Linked DNA regions of Caenorhabditis elegans. The protein of the gene in region 2 interacts with the protein of the main gene of each other region in a pairwise test. Each region holds a gene or a part of one and is shown on either strand. Other genes may lie near its edges. The genes, in order: lin-31 and pals-17.

Region 1 (6,986 bases), on a different chromosome or scaffold from region 2:
TTCTTCTATTTTGATGTCTTCGTTTTGTCTTTACTGGTCTGTCTTCGAAGTTGCTGAGCTGATTTAGAACATTGTAAATTTGTAAGAAAATTGATTTTTATCAACATAATTACGAAGTATCACGTTTTACGTGTGTTTTTAGAGTTTTCAAGTAAAAAATTTGAAATCAGCGGTATTCAAAACCTAAACCTTTTCACGGGGACTCGATCCCTTGACCTTTTGCTCCAAAGGCATTGCTCTTACCCACTGAGCCATCCGTGGCGCCGTTTTCTTAGGGCGCCGTACCAAGTGGCGCAGTGGCTAAGAGGGACGACTTTGAAGCAAACGGTCATGAGTTCGAGCCCCCGGGAGTTGATTTAAATTTTCTGATTACGACTCGCTGCGCCCTAAAGGTCCCTTTAGCTCCCCATTGATCATTTATCCCAAATCTCATTTATAAAATCTTTGTCCCGAGACAAACCCAGTCATATTTAATTAGAATAATCACTACCCTTTTTTGATTCTCCCACATACAATTTTTTTAAACCGAGAGTACGGTAGGTAATAACAATTTATGGAGAAGAATATTAGGTGATGAGAATGGGTGTCTCTACTACTATTATATATATTACTTTATTCATTCATTAAATTATGGTGGTGGTGGTGACGATGAGAAACTTTACGGAATTTATGAGTGAAATTGTTCCAAAAAAGTGGTGAAGTGTCAAATGGAATATCTAACTGGGAGGGGGGTGAATAAGGACAATGGGGTTAGTGTACTCTCGAGAATATGGAATTAGAAAATGAGGAAAACTTGCAAAAAATGGAGCTTTGAAAAAAACTAGCTGAAAACATCCTTTCAGAGTTGGATTTTAAGATTTTAAGATTTCTCTAAATCATTGTAGTGAAATTTTCTACTGAGGTTTTCTAGTTTCTTTTTCATTTGGTATACATTTTTTTGTAGAAAATGTTCACCAAAACTTTTTTCGAATGCATAATAATTCAACATTTTCTATGCTTTTTAAATTATTTTTCTTGTTGCAGAAAACCCAAACTACCGTACTTTTTCACTAGGTGGTCTCCAAACTTTAATCCGTTATAACTCCACAAATATTTTTGATATAAAAAAGTTGTCAATTAACAAAATGTGCAAAATTTTATGACCAATATTTAATCAGTTGACAGTTTTTTGATATCTCAGGTAACCGCAGAGTTATGAGCGTTTGAAGTTGAAGCGTGCTCTAGGCTCTCCAGGTGACCCAAATATTTGAATATTTTAGTAATTCTCATGATTTTAAAATTGTCCAACAAAAATTCAAATATTGACACTAATTCTTCCCACCTAGACACCCCACCATTCCATGGACTAATCCCGTTAATTCGAACGCTTCCCCCCTACCGCTCTCGGTGTCACTCAAAATTTCAAACAAGTCGTGACAGTTCTCGGGTGGTCTGATACCAGTTTACCTACATTTTCAAAAAAAAACACAATCAACTCTTTCATCTTCAGTATTCCAGTGAATCCCGTCCCACACCAGATGCCCCAACTCAGCGGGGGCTGCGTGATACCCGGTCAGCAGCAGCACCAGCAACAGGAGTAACTGGTTCCTCCCAAATATAGGTTAGTGATGTGAATGTAAAACAAAGACTTATTTTTCTATTAGAAATGTGTTGTCATTTTCCTTATTACAAGTTGTTGCCTTTTTCCCTTACGGGCGGTCTCGGTAAGCGCTGTCTCCCCGTTGGCCAGCCCCGCCCACTCAACGCTCCGCCCTTCTTCTCCTTCTAAGGCTTGGCTTCTCAAACAAATTGACTTTTCCCAATCGCTAAGATTTCAATATATTTTGATATATTCCAAAACCTTCTTTATTAATTATCAATCCAAGCAAAACTCTATACATATTCCCTGAAAAATGCCAAGACCCGGAAAAGACTCGTACGATGAGCAGAAGCCACCGTACTCGTACATTTGGCTCACCTATATGGCTATTCAGGACTCTGACGATAAAATGCTCCCGCTCACGGAGATCTACAAATATATTATGGATCGGTTTCCGTTTTATAGGAAAAACACGCAGAGGTATGAGTTGGGGGTTTGAAAGTTTTTGAGCTCTAAGAAAATTTCTAGTTTTTCTAAAATTCCTGTGTTACTGAAACCCAAAAAAGGGGGGTTTTGTCAATTTTTCCAAGAATCCATTTTTTAAGGCCATTTTGTGAAAAATTTTCAAGTTAAATTTAACAAAAAAATCTGACATTGAAGTTTCCCTTTGTGACTGATTTTGCGTTTTAACAGAGCTTTGAAGATTGAAATGTTTTTTTTCTGAAATTTCGATATTTGTATTTCCATAGTTATTTTGCTTTGAAAAAATATACAAAATATGCTCAAAAACTCCAAATTTCATAGTTTTCAGTCCGGTTTATTTTGGGGTTTTTTCTCACTTTTATAGATTAGTTCTTGTAGTTTCCCCACTTTTATAAGAAAAATTATTGGGTTCAAAAATATGCAATTTTCAATGTTTTAAACAAAAAAAAGTCCTAGAAATATATTTTCGAAGTTTTCTCTTGATTTTTTTATAGTTAAAGTGACTTAAAAATATATGAAATTTCCTTTAAAACAAACAGAAAAATTCTCTAAAAAACTCAAAAAGTGTATTCATTAGTTTCAACATTTCAGAAAAAAAGATAAAAATCAGCTCAAAATGTAATGTTTTCAGGTGGCAAAACTCCCTGCGACACAACTTGTCATTCAACGACTGCTTCATCAAGATCCCAAGAAGAGCCGATCGTCCTGGGAAGGTAATATTTGTAATTTAAAAAAAAATAAAATTTCCGAAGTTATTAATTTAATTTTTAAAAACCTAAACAATTTGCAATTTTCAAAGATGAATTTCTAGCAAAAAAAAGTTACATACTATATATGGGTTTTTCCAAGAACTCGTTTGCTCTCTTTTTGTGCTCTTTTGCCCTCAATGAGCACATGCTCACTTTATAGAACCAACAAAACAACTACCGTAGTCCTTAGAGCTAAAGTAAATCTGCAACACTTTTTGCTCATTCTGCAATTTCCATGTTAAATCCTGTGATAATTTTTTTTCTAAATTTCCGAAAAAAAAACACCGTAAAAAATTCCAGGGCTCCTACTGGGCGGTGCACCCAAATGCCTCCGGAATGTTCGAGAACGGCAGCTGCTTACGGCGTCGGAAACGATTTCGGGTAAGTCTTCGGTTACTGTACTTATCAAATTGTGTAAATTAATGATCTTATCACTTCAAAGAGAAACGCAAAAATCTCCAACAAAAAAAAACGAAAAATTGATTTAGAGAGGGCGCGCGCGTGCTTCCCCCTTCACGATTTTGAGAGAGAAAGACAATTCTACAGTAATCCTCAAGGTTGGTCGATGACAGAAAAGGCGAGAAATTTGTTTTAAATACGATTGAGAGACTATTGGGGGAAGAGATTATGATGAACGGCTGCAGGATTGGATAAGACTTTGCAGATTTTGATGTGGGGTACTGTAGTTTAAAGGGAAGACTGTGAACAAATATTTAAGATAGTGTGGCTATGCGCAGGCTTAGGCTTAAATTTAGGTTTAGGCTTAGGCTTAGGCTTAGTCTTAGGCTCAGTCTCAGGGTTAGGTTTAGGCTTAGGCTCAGGTTCAGACTTAGGTTCAGGCTTAGCCTATTGCTTAGGCTTAGGCTTAGGCTTAGGCTTAGGCTCCGGCTTAGGATTAGGCTTAGGCTTAGGTTCAGGCTCAGGGTTAGGCTTAGGGTAAAGCTTAGGTTCTGGCTTAGGCTTAGACTTATGCTTAAGATTAGGCAATGAAGAGTACCTGTGTATTTGGTTCAGCCGAAATTGCGCAACTTTGAGAATGTACAAAATTCTTAAAAAATTGCAGAGTTGGAACTTTCAGAAATCGCAAATGCCTTCGGAGAATAGGAAGCTTCGGCACTGTGGTTTTGGTACTGACCTGCAATTTTCAAATCATTCTGCAAAGTTTTAAATTTGACAAAAATTTTTTATCAAAATGGTTTTGAAACGTTTATCTACATAGGGTAATTAACCTCGCCCCCCCCCCCCCCCCCCAAAATATTTTCAATTTTCACTCAATTTTACTCAATACAATTAAACAGTCATATTAAGATGAATTGACTTACGCGCGCGAAATACTCTCCTCCCGGTACTACCCAATAAAATGTGCCATCTGTTGCAATAGTTGTACTCCTACTACTTCTACGGGGGGGGGCAACAGATGCCTCCTATCCAATATTGTAGTGTTATGTTGAAATGAAAATGAGTGACTTGTGTCTGTGTGTGTATGATGAAGTAGTTAGAAAAGAGGACAAAGAAAAAGTAATAAGAAGTTGCAAGAGTTTGTTTGAGTGGGGTGAGCGGGGTTTGCACATAACTTTAAATTTTTTTCAACTATTCGGCTTGGGAACTCTACACCTATTGAAATATAAGGCTGTAGGCAAGCACTTAGGCATGTAGGTAGGAAGAACGGGGACATGACTATGCAAACAGGTATAATTCTGTTCCAATGTACTGTTCCAAATATCAAATCCTCCATACAGTCTGTCCTCCAACCACAAGCCCATTAAAATGACAGTCAGGCTGTCCAGCGGGGGGTCCCCCGCCGAAAAAGAAGGGCTGTCGCGGGGCGCTAGCTAATATGTGACACATATACATATAACTGTATCACTTGTACATGTACATAAGACGGATTGGAAACAAAAGTGATTCTCTTTGCCTATGGTTCATTCCATTTCGCGCAATGTTTTAGGTAGTACGGTAGATTAAATGGCCTTGGGGCGAGGAGGGGAGGACTAATCACTTGGAGGGGAAAGAAGAGGCAAGACAAAGATTGATGCGGTTTGAATTTAGATATTTAGGTGGTGGAGCGAGGTGTCAATGTTTGTCAGGTGCCTGATTTATTAGTATATGTACTTTAAGAGATGAATTATAGAAGTGCTGCAAATTTGAAAGGCATAACTGTAAGGTACCTTTTAAATTACTACCGGCATGTGGTGTCAAAGTGTTTCAGTTCGGTTTGATCTACAAAGAATGCTGGAGAAGAGACGCAGACTTTTTCGGGGCGGTGCTCGGGAAGAGCTGATTTACGTCGATTTACAGTTTTCCTCGTTTCTAGAATTTCGTAAATCGACACAAATCGGCTTTTTCCGCGCCCCGTCCTTTGGGTCCCGGGATGTCTCTGTCTCTTCAACTATCTACACTATCTGTACTGGTAATAGTGCATTTTCTAAAATTGAATCATAAAATTTTGCTGTAAAAGTTGAACGTTTTTTAAACACAGTTTTAAAAAATATTTAAAAAATTCAATTTCAGGCTCGCGGCGGCCAAGACGACGACGACGACGACTTCCACCACCCGGCTCCATCGAAAATCTCTCGCAAAAATCCTCTTCCACTGCTCCCGGAGCCCCCAATAACCCCACCACTCCTCTCCTCCCTTTTCCCAAATCTTCCACCATCACTCCCAAATTTCTGCCTGTTTCCTCCAGGCATGGATCCTACAAAATCGTTGCTTCTGAACCCTCTTTCCCTACTTTTAATGCCCCATTTCTTGAAAAATTCTTCGAATTTTGAGAGCTCGACTCCACACTCTGAAACATCGGAGATTTCTGGGTCGGGATCTTCATCGTCGAAGACTCCAACTCCTGAAGCTGGCTTCAACTCTTCTTTCAGTATTGAGTCGATTTTGAGCTCTTGAGCTTTTGAGCTCATCTCACTACCTTTTAATTATTAAAAAAATAATATTTTCATTAAATTGTGCCACACATTTTCCTGTTCATTTTCTGTCATCCTGTCTTTCTTTTCTTGTTTCTTAAGATTCGATTTTCTATTTCAATAATGTGCAAATGCGCTCTGTTAACCAACTAACCGACTAACCCAACCTAGCAGCCGACATTTCACGGGGCAAAACCTGTAAACTGTCGGCTGCTAAGCGGAGGACCTACTAACAACTGATATTATCAATGATAACATTCCACACATCCCAGCTCCCAATATTTCCATCGGTGTTAACTTTTTTCAGATTTTTTCTGAAGCTTAAACTTCAGAATGTCAATTCTGTTCTAAACCTAGTCCCTATACATTTGAAATTATTGATTTTCTAGATTTTTCTTCTTGTGATAAGTACTTCTTGTACTCTGTTCCCCAATATTTTTTGTATTGAATATAAAATATTTATTAATTTCCCAGGCTCTTTTTAGTCATAAACAACCAAATAACGTTTTTTTTTCTCCAAATAATGAAAAAGTTGCCAGTGGTTAGTTTGATTTTTTTTACTTGAAACATCAATTAAAAATGCCAATTTTTTCCAACGCTGCCGTAATTGTTGTTATCTTTGATATTTACCGTGACTCTCTCATATCAAATTTTTCCCGAAAGACTACAGAATATTCAAACAATACGAATGCAACGATATCGATGAGTCAATCGAAATTTGATAAATTGTTATGTCGAAATACTACGACTCCTCCTACAATTTGCGTATAAGAATAGCGTCCGAATTCTTATACATACGCTCAAAATTCTTTAAAAATGGATTCAAAAAAACCGTATAAATACTCTACTTATTGCTTTATTTTTCTCAATTGTATTCTCGTGGTGTTTCAACGGCATTTCGGTTTTTTTGCCACAATGGAATGTAGATGACACGGTAGATCAAGTTAGCCTTTTTCCGCTGGATTTACTGGTTAGATTTATCTTTATCTTTATTTCACTTGAATTAATCTTTAATTGAAGAACAACCCGCCATACTTCAGTGCGGTCGCATTGATGATGCTTCTTTCGTTTTGTGCAACTGTAGCTATCTCTATGTTTTACATTTTTTCTTTGTGAGTTTCTTTTTGAAATTTCTTGGCACGAGAACCAACTGAGTGGATATGCAAAAATCAGCTAGGCCCTAGGCAGGCAGATAATCTAGGCAGCCATTAACTCAAAGTAGACTGACAACGTTTAGGTAGGCAGGCATGTAGGTAAGTAGGC
Region 2 (4,056 bases):
TTGAAATTTTATCGAAAAAAGCATTGAAATTTTGAAAACTTATCAAAATATTTTTTTGAGATGATTTCATAAAAATTACCAAAACATCTCAATCGCTTATAAAAAACTAAAATATTTCACGTGAAAGTGTTGGGAAGCAACCTGGACCGTCCTGTACCACTTTTCAGTGCTTCTGAGCCCAGTACTTGGCTCCCAGTGATTCTTATCTCACGAAACGTTTGGAACATGTTAGTGTATATCCAAAGATTGTTCCTGTGAAATTTGGTCTAATTTGGAACACGTTCAGATGTTTTATTGCAAAAATAATTCAATGGCACCGGTAGATGAGACATTTTTAACCAAAAAGTTTGGCTTACAAACTATGATAAATTAAAAAAAACAAAAAATAATACGACAATATCTTACTATTAGGATAAATTTTCCAAAGTGAGAACCCTATTTTCTGTCATCGACTTTTATATACATATGCTCCTAGAACTGTTATCAGTTATGGTATCCATTCTGGGTGATAAACTTTGATGACGATTGTACAGCCGACTGAAATGTATCACCTTGTAGAAGTGTTGATAAGCAACTACTTCTCTTCAATTTTCTGCGTTTCCATAACTCTCTATTTGAAAAATCAAAAAATGTGGTGCGAATACTCAAGTGACGTATTAGTTTTAGTCGAAACAAATTTAACATGATTGTTTCATTAAAACATCAATAACTTATCTGAAACTTTGAAATAGTTCCCTACAACACAGTCAAACTAGTCTTGCATGAAGACCTTGGTGGAAAATACGGCATATGTATGTAAACAACACGTTAAAGATCTTTATTTAAGACCATATTAGGTAAGTTTTCAGATAAAAAGTCGGTAATTGTTTACAAAAAAAAACAAAAAGATATTCTTCATTATACATTAAAATCCGAACAAATATCAGCCATTTCCTGTAAATCGAGATGAAAGTTTCTCAGATCATCCTTGTACAGCTCCACTCTCTCGGCATCGTTATTGCTACAAGCTATTTGGTAATGAACGCACAAAGATCGGAGATTCGAGTAGTTAACAAGTTCTCCCATTTTGAGAACTTGGTCCTGTAATTTAAATAAATGTTTACTGAATCAATAAATTGTACATACCGATAACTTTTCAAATATATCCGCATCAATGTAGCTAGATCTTATCATAAAACTTTCAAAGTACTCAGTTTCTTCCTCAAATTGTTGAATTTGGCGTTCTATGCTATCGGAGAACAACTCATCCGAAATACCATTTTCCACTGCATTGTCCACGTCCTTCTCAATTTCACGCAGTAAACGGACCATTTTTGAAAATAACCTCATAGCTTCGTTTCTGTTCTTGAGCTTTAGAAAAGCAATGTAGTTTTTCCTCTTATTCTCTAATTTGTGAATTTTCAAGTTGTGTTCCTGCTCCAAATGTTCCCTGTTAAAATTACAAAGTATGGTTTTACTTTAAGGGTAGCAATAAATACTTCACAATTGGACTGGTAAGACTATTTGTAAAATATCCAATAGTGTTGATAATAATGAGCTATATTCAAAAGCAACGCGTAAAAGGTGAGCTGTTTTAGGAATAATCTAACAATATATTCGAATTGTTCAGTAAGTGTGCAAGATCTGTTAGGCGGACTTTGGTTAGACCAGGGAGTGGTGAACTATGCATATTTGTGAAAAAACGCAAGTTCCAAATCTGTTTTACCTGGCACTGGCCTGTAAGTTTGAAGGCCGTATATGTCAAATAGCACGCCGTCTATAAAAACACTAACCTTTCATCCTCAAAATTTTTTAGCATTTCCTCTTCCCTTGTTTTCTGGAATGCTCCATTTTTGTTTGAATATAACTTCCTGTTTCCGGGCTAAAAGTTGAAACTGTAAGTATTATTATATATTCTCAAAATAAAATATACCTTAAACTCATAATATTCAGGTTCCATGTAGTTAAGGTTTGACTGCTCTGGTCTAGCAAAATCGCCTTGCCTCTCCATAAAAAACTGTCTGAAGGGTGAAAAGCATTATTTAGACTTTTGAGACTTATGGGTTTTACATTTCTTTTCCTTCCGAAAATGTTCTTCTCAGCAGGTTGCTTTGTTGAGCTGAAAACTTAATTTTACAATTTTGACTTGGTCAAAGGAACAAACCACTGATAGACTTTTCACTAGAAAACTTTGATGAAAAATTCATTTTTGGCGAGGTGGTTCTGTAAGTTAAATTTGGAAAAAACGAGGCACTAAATTCCAAAAAACGGACGTGTGTGAGAGTTACTAGTACTTTTATGCTCAAGAAGTTTCGTTAGAAAATTTCATAACTGAAACGTTTTGTTTCGAAAATGAACATTGAGGAGGTCGCAAGTAAGTTTCAAAAGTTCATGCTAGTTGTCTATAAAATGTACTAAAAATAAAGACAGAGCAACCAACTGGGAGTATTATGAAAGGTCTATAATTATGTAGTAATGTATTGAATCAATGTCACTACATGACGGGTGCTCACTGCTTTGTTTTGATAATGGTAAGAAAATGAATCACACTTGTATGTGTGTTTTAGACTACGAATCTGCAAACTTATTAGTTGACGGAATTTCTCCAAGTTCTACCTTTCCGTGGCTACCGGAGGACAGTGCGTTGGCTTCTGGCTCGCGTTATGCATGATCTACCAGTGAGAACACTTTGGGAACTAACAACTAATTTAGAAAGGAACGAAACAATCCTTTCAAGTTGTAAGACATTCAAAAATGTCTTGAGCAAAAATTTTTCGGAAATTCATGGGAAAATGCGAAAATCTGGACCCAAAAAATATCAGCGGCCGACATCTCACGAGTTTTGCACCCCGTTGCGTTTACCGTGACAGTGCGGCACGCCGTCAGCAACGTAAGACGATGAGGGCGTAGTAACTGTCACGGTAAACACAGCAAGCCGCGAAACTCGTGAGATGTCGGCGGATAATATGTTGGGTCCCGATTTTTGCATTTTCCGGGGATTTTCCAAAAAAGTATACTTCAAAGAATAATTGTTTAAACTGTACCCCACTAGAGGGACTAGACCTTTAAGCAGTCCTAGTTTATTGTCTTAAATTATAGTACTCGGTACTATTACTAAGAATATAAAAGAAAACGTCACGACCAGAAGTCATGGAAAATTTTTAAATCCCCTATTTTTCACACATGAGAATTTTGAAGCAATATATGAACATCCGAAAAGAGTAGAAAAATGACGTAGGTGCAGGAAACTTTTTCAAGTGATAACAACCCTTTTAAGGAAAATGAAATGTGTAGATAACATAATTTTTTTTCTTTTTTTCTCCTTTTTGCTCCACTTTATCGTCGTCTCTCTCGTTTTTGTTCCGCACAGCAACCTAGGGCACGAATTTTTAACCAATGAGAATCCTGAAGTGTGCAGTGGGGCGCGCTTGCATTCTGAATCAAAAGTGAAACTTTGAAAGTGTTTTTCCTGTTTTTCATCGATATTTTTGGGAGAATAAGGAAATATTTATCAGAAAAACACATTCCAGTAGATTTTTTGAATATATGGTTGCAGTTTTTAGTTCAGAAAATACAAAGAACGCATATTTCGTTTTTTTTTTTGAATTTTCAAAAAATATCTAATGGCAGGGTATTTATCGGAAATAAAACAAACATTATGGGTCTCCTATTTTGTAAAATGCATCTTAGTACTATCAAAGTATAGTAATTTTTAGATTTCACAGAAAAATAGTGCATATTTGTTCTATTTCAATGTACATCCTATTTATGTTTCTCAAAATGCTTCCAATTGCTGTTATTTTGTGCCATTGCGCTATGAAAATTGAATTTTTAGGTTGTACAGTACTGAAAATGATAAATAAAACAGCACACTCCTCACAGCTTGTTTTTGAATTTAAATTTATAATTTCGGTGATTATGTACAACAAGTTTCCCTTGATGTTTTGGGAAAATGTGTAAGGCTCCGTCAATCAAAACTGGTCGGAGTTTCAAAGTTTTGCGCACGATTCTTGCACCACACTTTGAATTCATTGCTAGCGTTGAAAAATACCGCTTTCATGGTTTGATACATAAAAA

What was found.
Region 1: the proteins of pals-17 (region 2) and lin-31 interact in a two-hybrid assay, tested with the Caenorhabditis elegans proteins (2 studies listed by BioGRID).

Annotation. Positions count from the first base shown.
Region 1 is NC_003280.10:3,980,762-3,987,747, forward strand, and holds lin-31 (Protein lin-31), read left to right. Parts: upstream 1-1,787; 5' UTR 1,788-1,892; coding exon 1,893-2,059; intron 2,060-2,693; coding exon 2,694-2,775; intron 2,776-3,111; coding exon 3,112-3,192; intron 3,193-3,567; exon of another isoform or gene 3,568-3,759; intron 3,760-5,322; coding exon 5,323-5,706; 3' UTR 5,707-6,268; downstream 6,269-6,986. Other genes in the region: K10G6.5 (Serpentine receptor class gamma), read left to right, coding at 6,777-6,835. UniProt on the Caenorhabditis elegans protein: Lin-31 regulates how vulval precursor cells choose their fate. It helps specify three alternative cell fates in vulval development.
Region 2 is NC_003281.10:1,389,649-1,393,704, forward strand, and holds pals-17 (Protein containing ALS2cr12 (ALS2CR12) signature), read right to left. Parts: upstream 2,205-4,056; 5' UTR 2,187-2,204; coding exon 2,144-2,186; intron 2,099-2,143; coding exon 2,050-2,098; intron 2,001-2,049; coding exon 1,913-2,000; intron 1,862-1,912; coding exon 1,773-1,861; intron 1,430-1,772; coding exon 1,126-1,429; intron 1,081-1,125; coding exon 898-1,080; 3' UTR 802-897; downstream 1-801.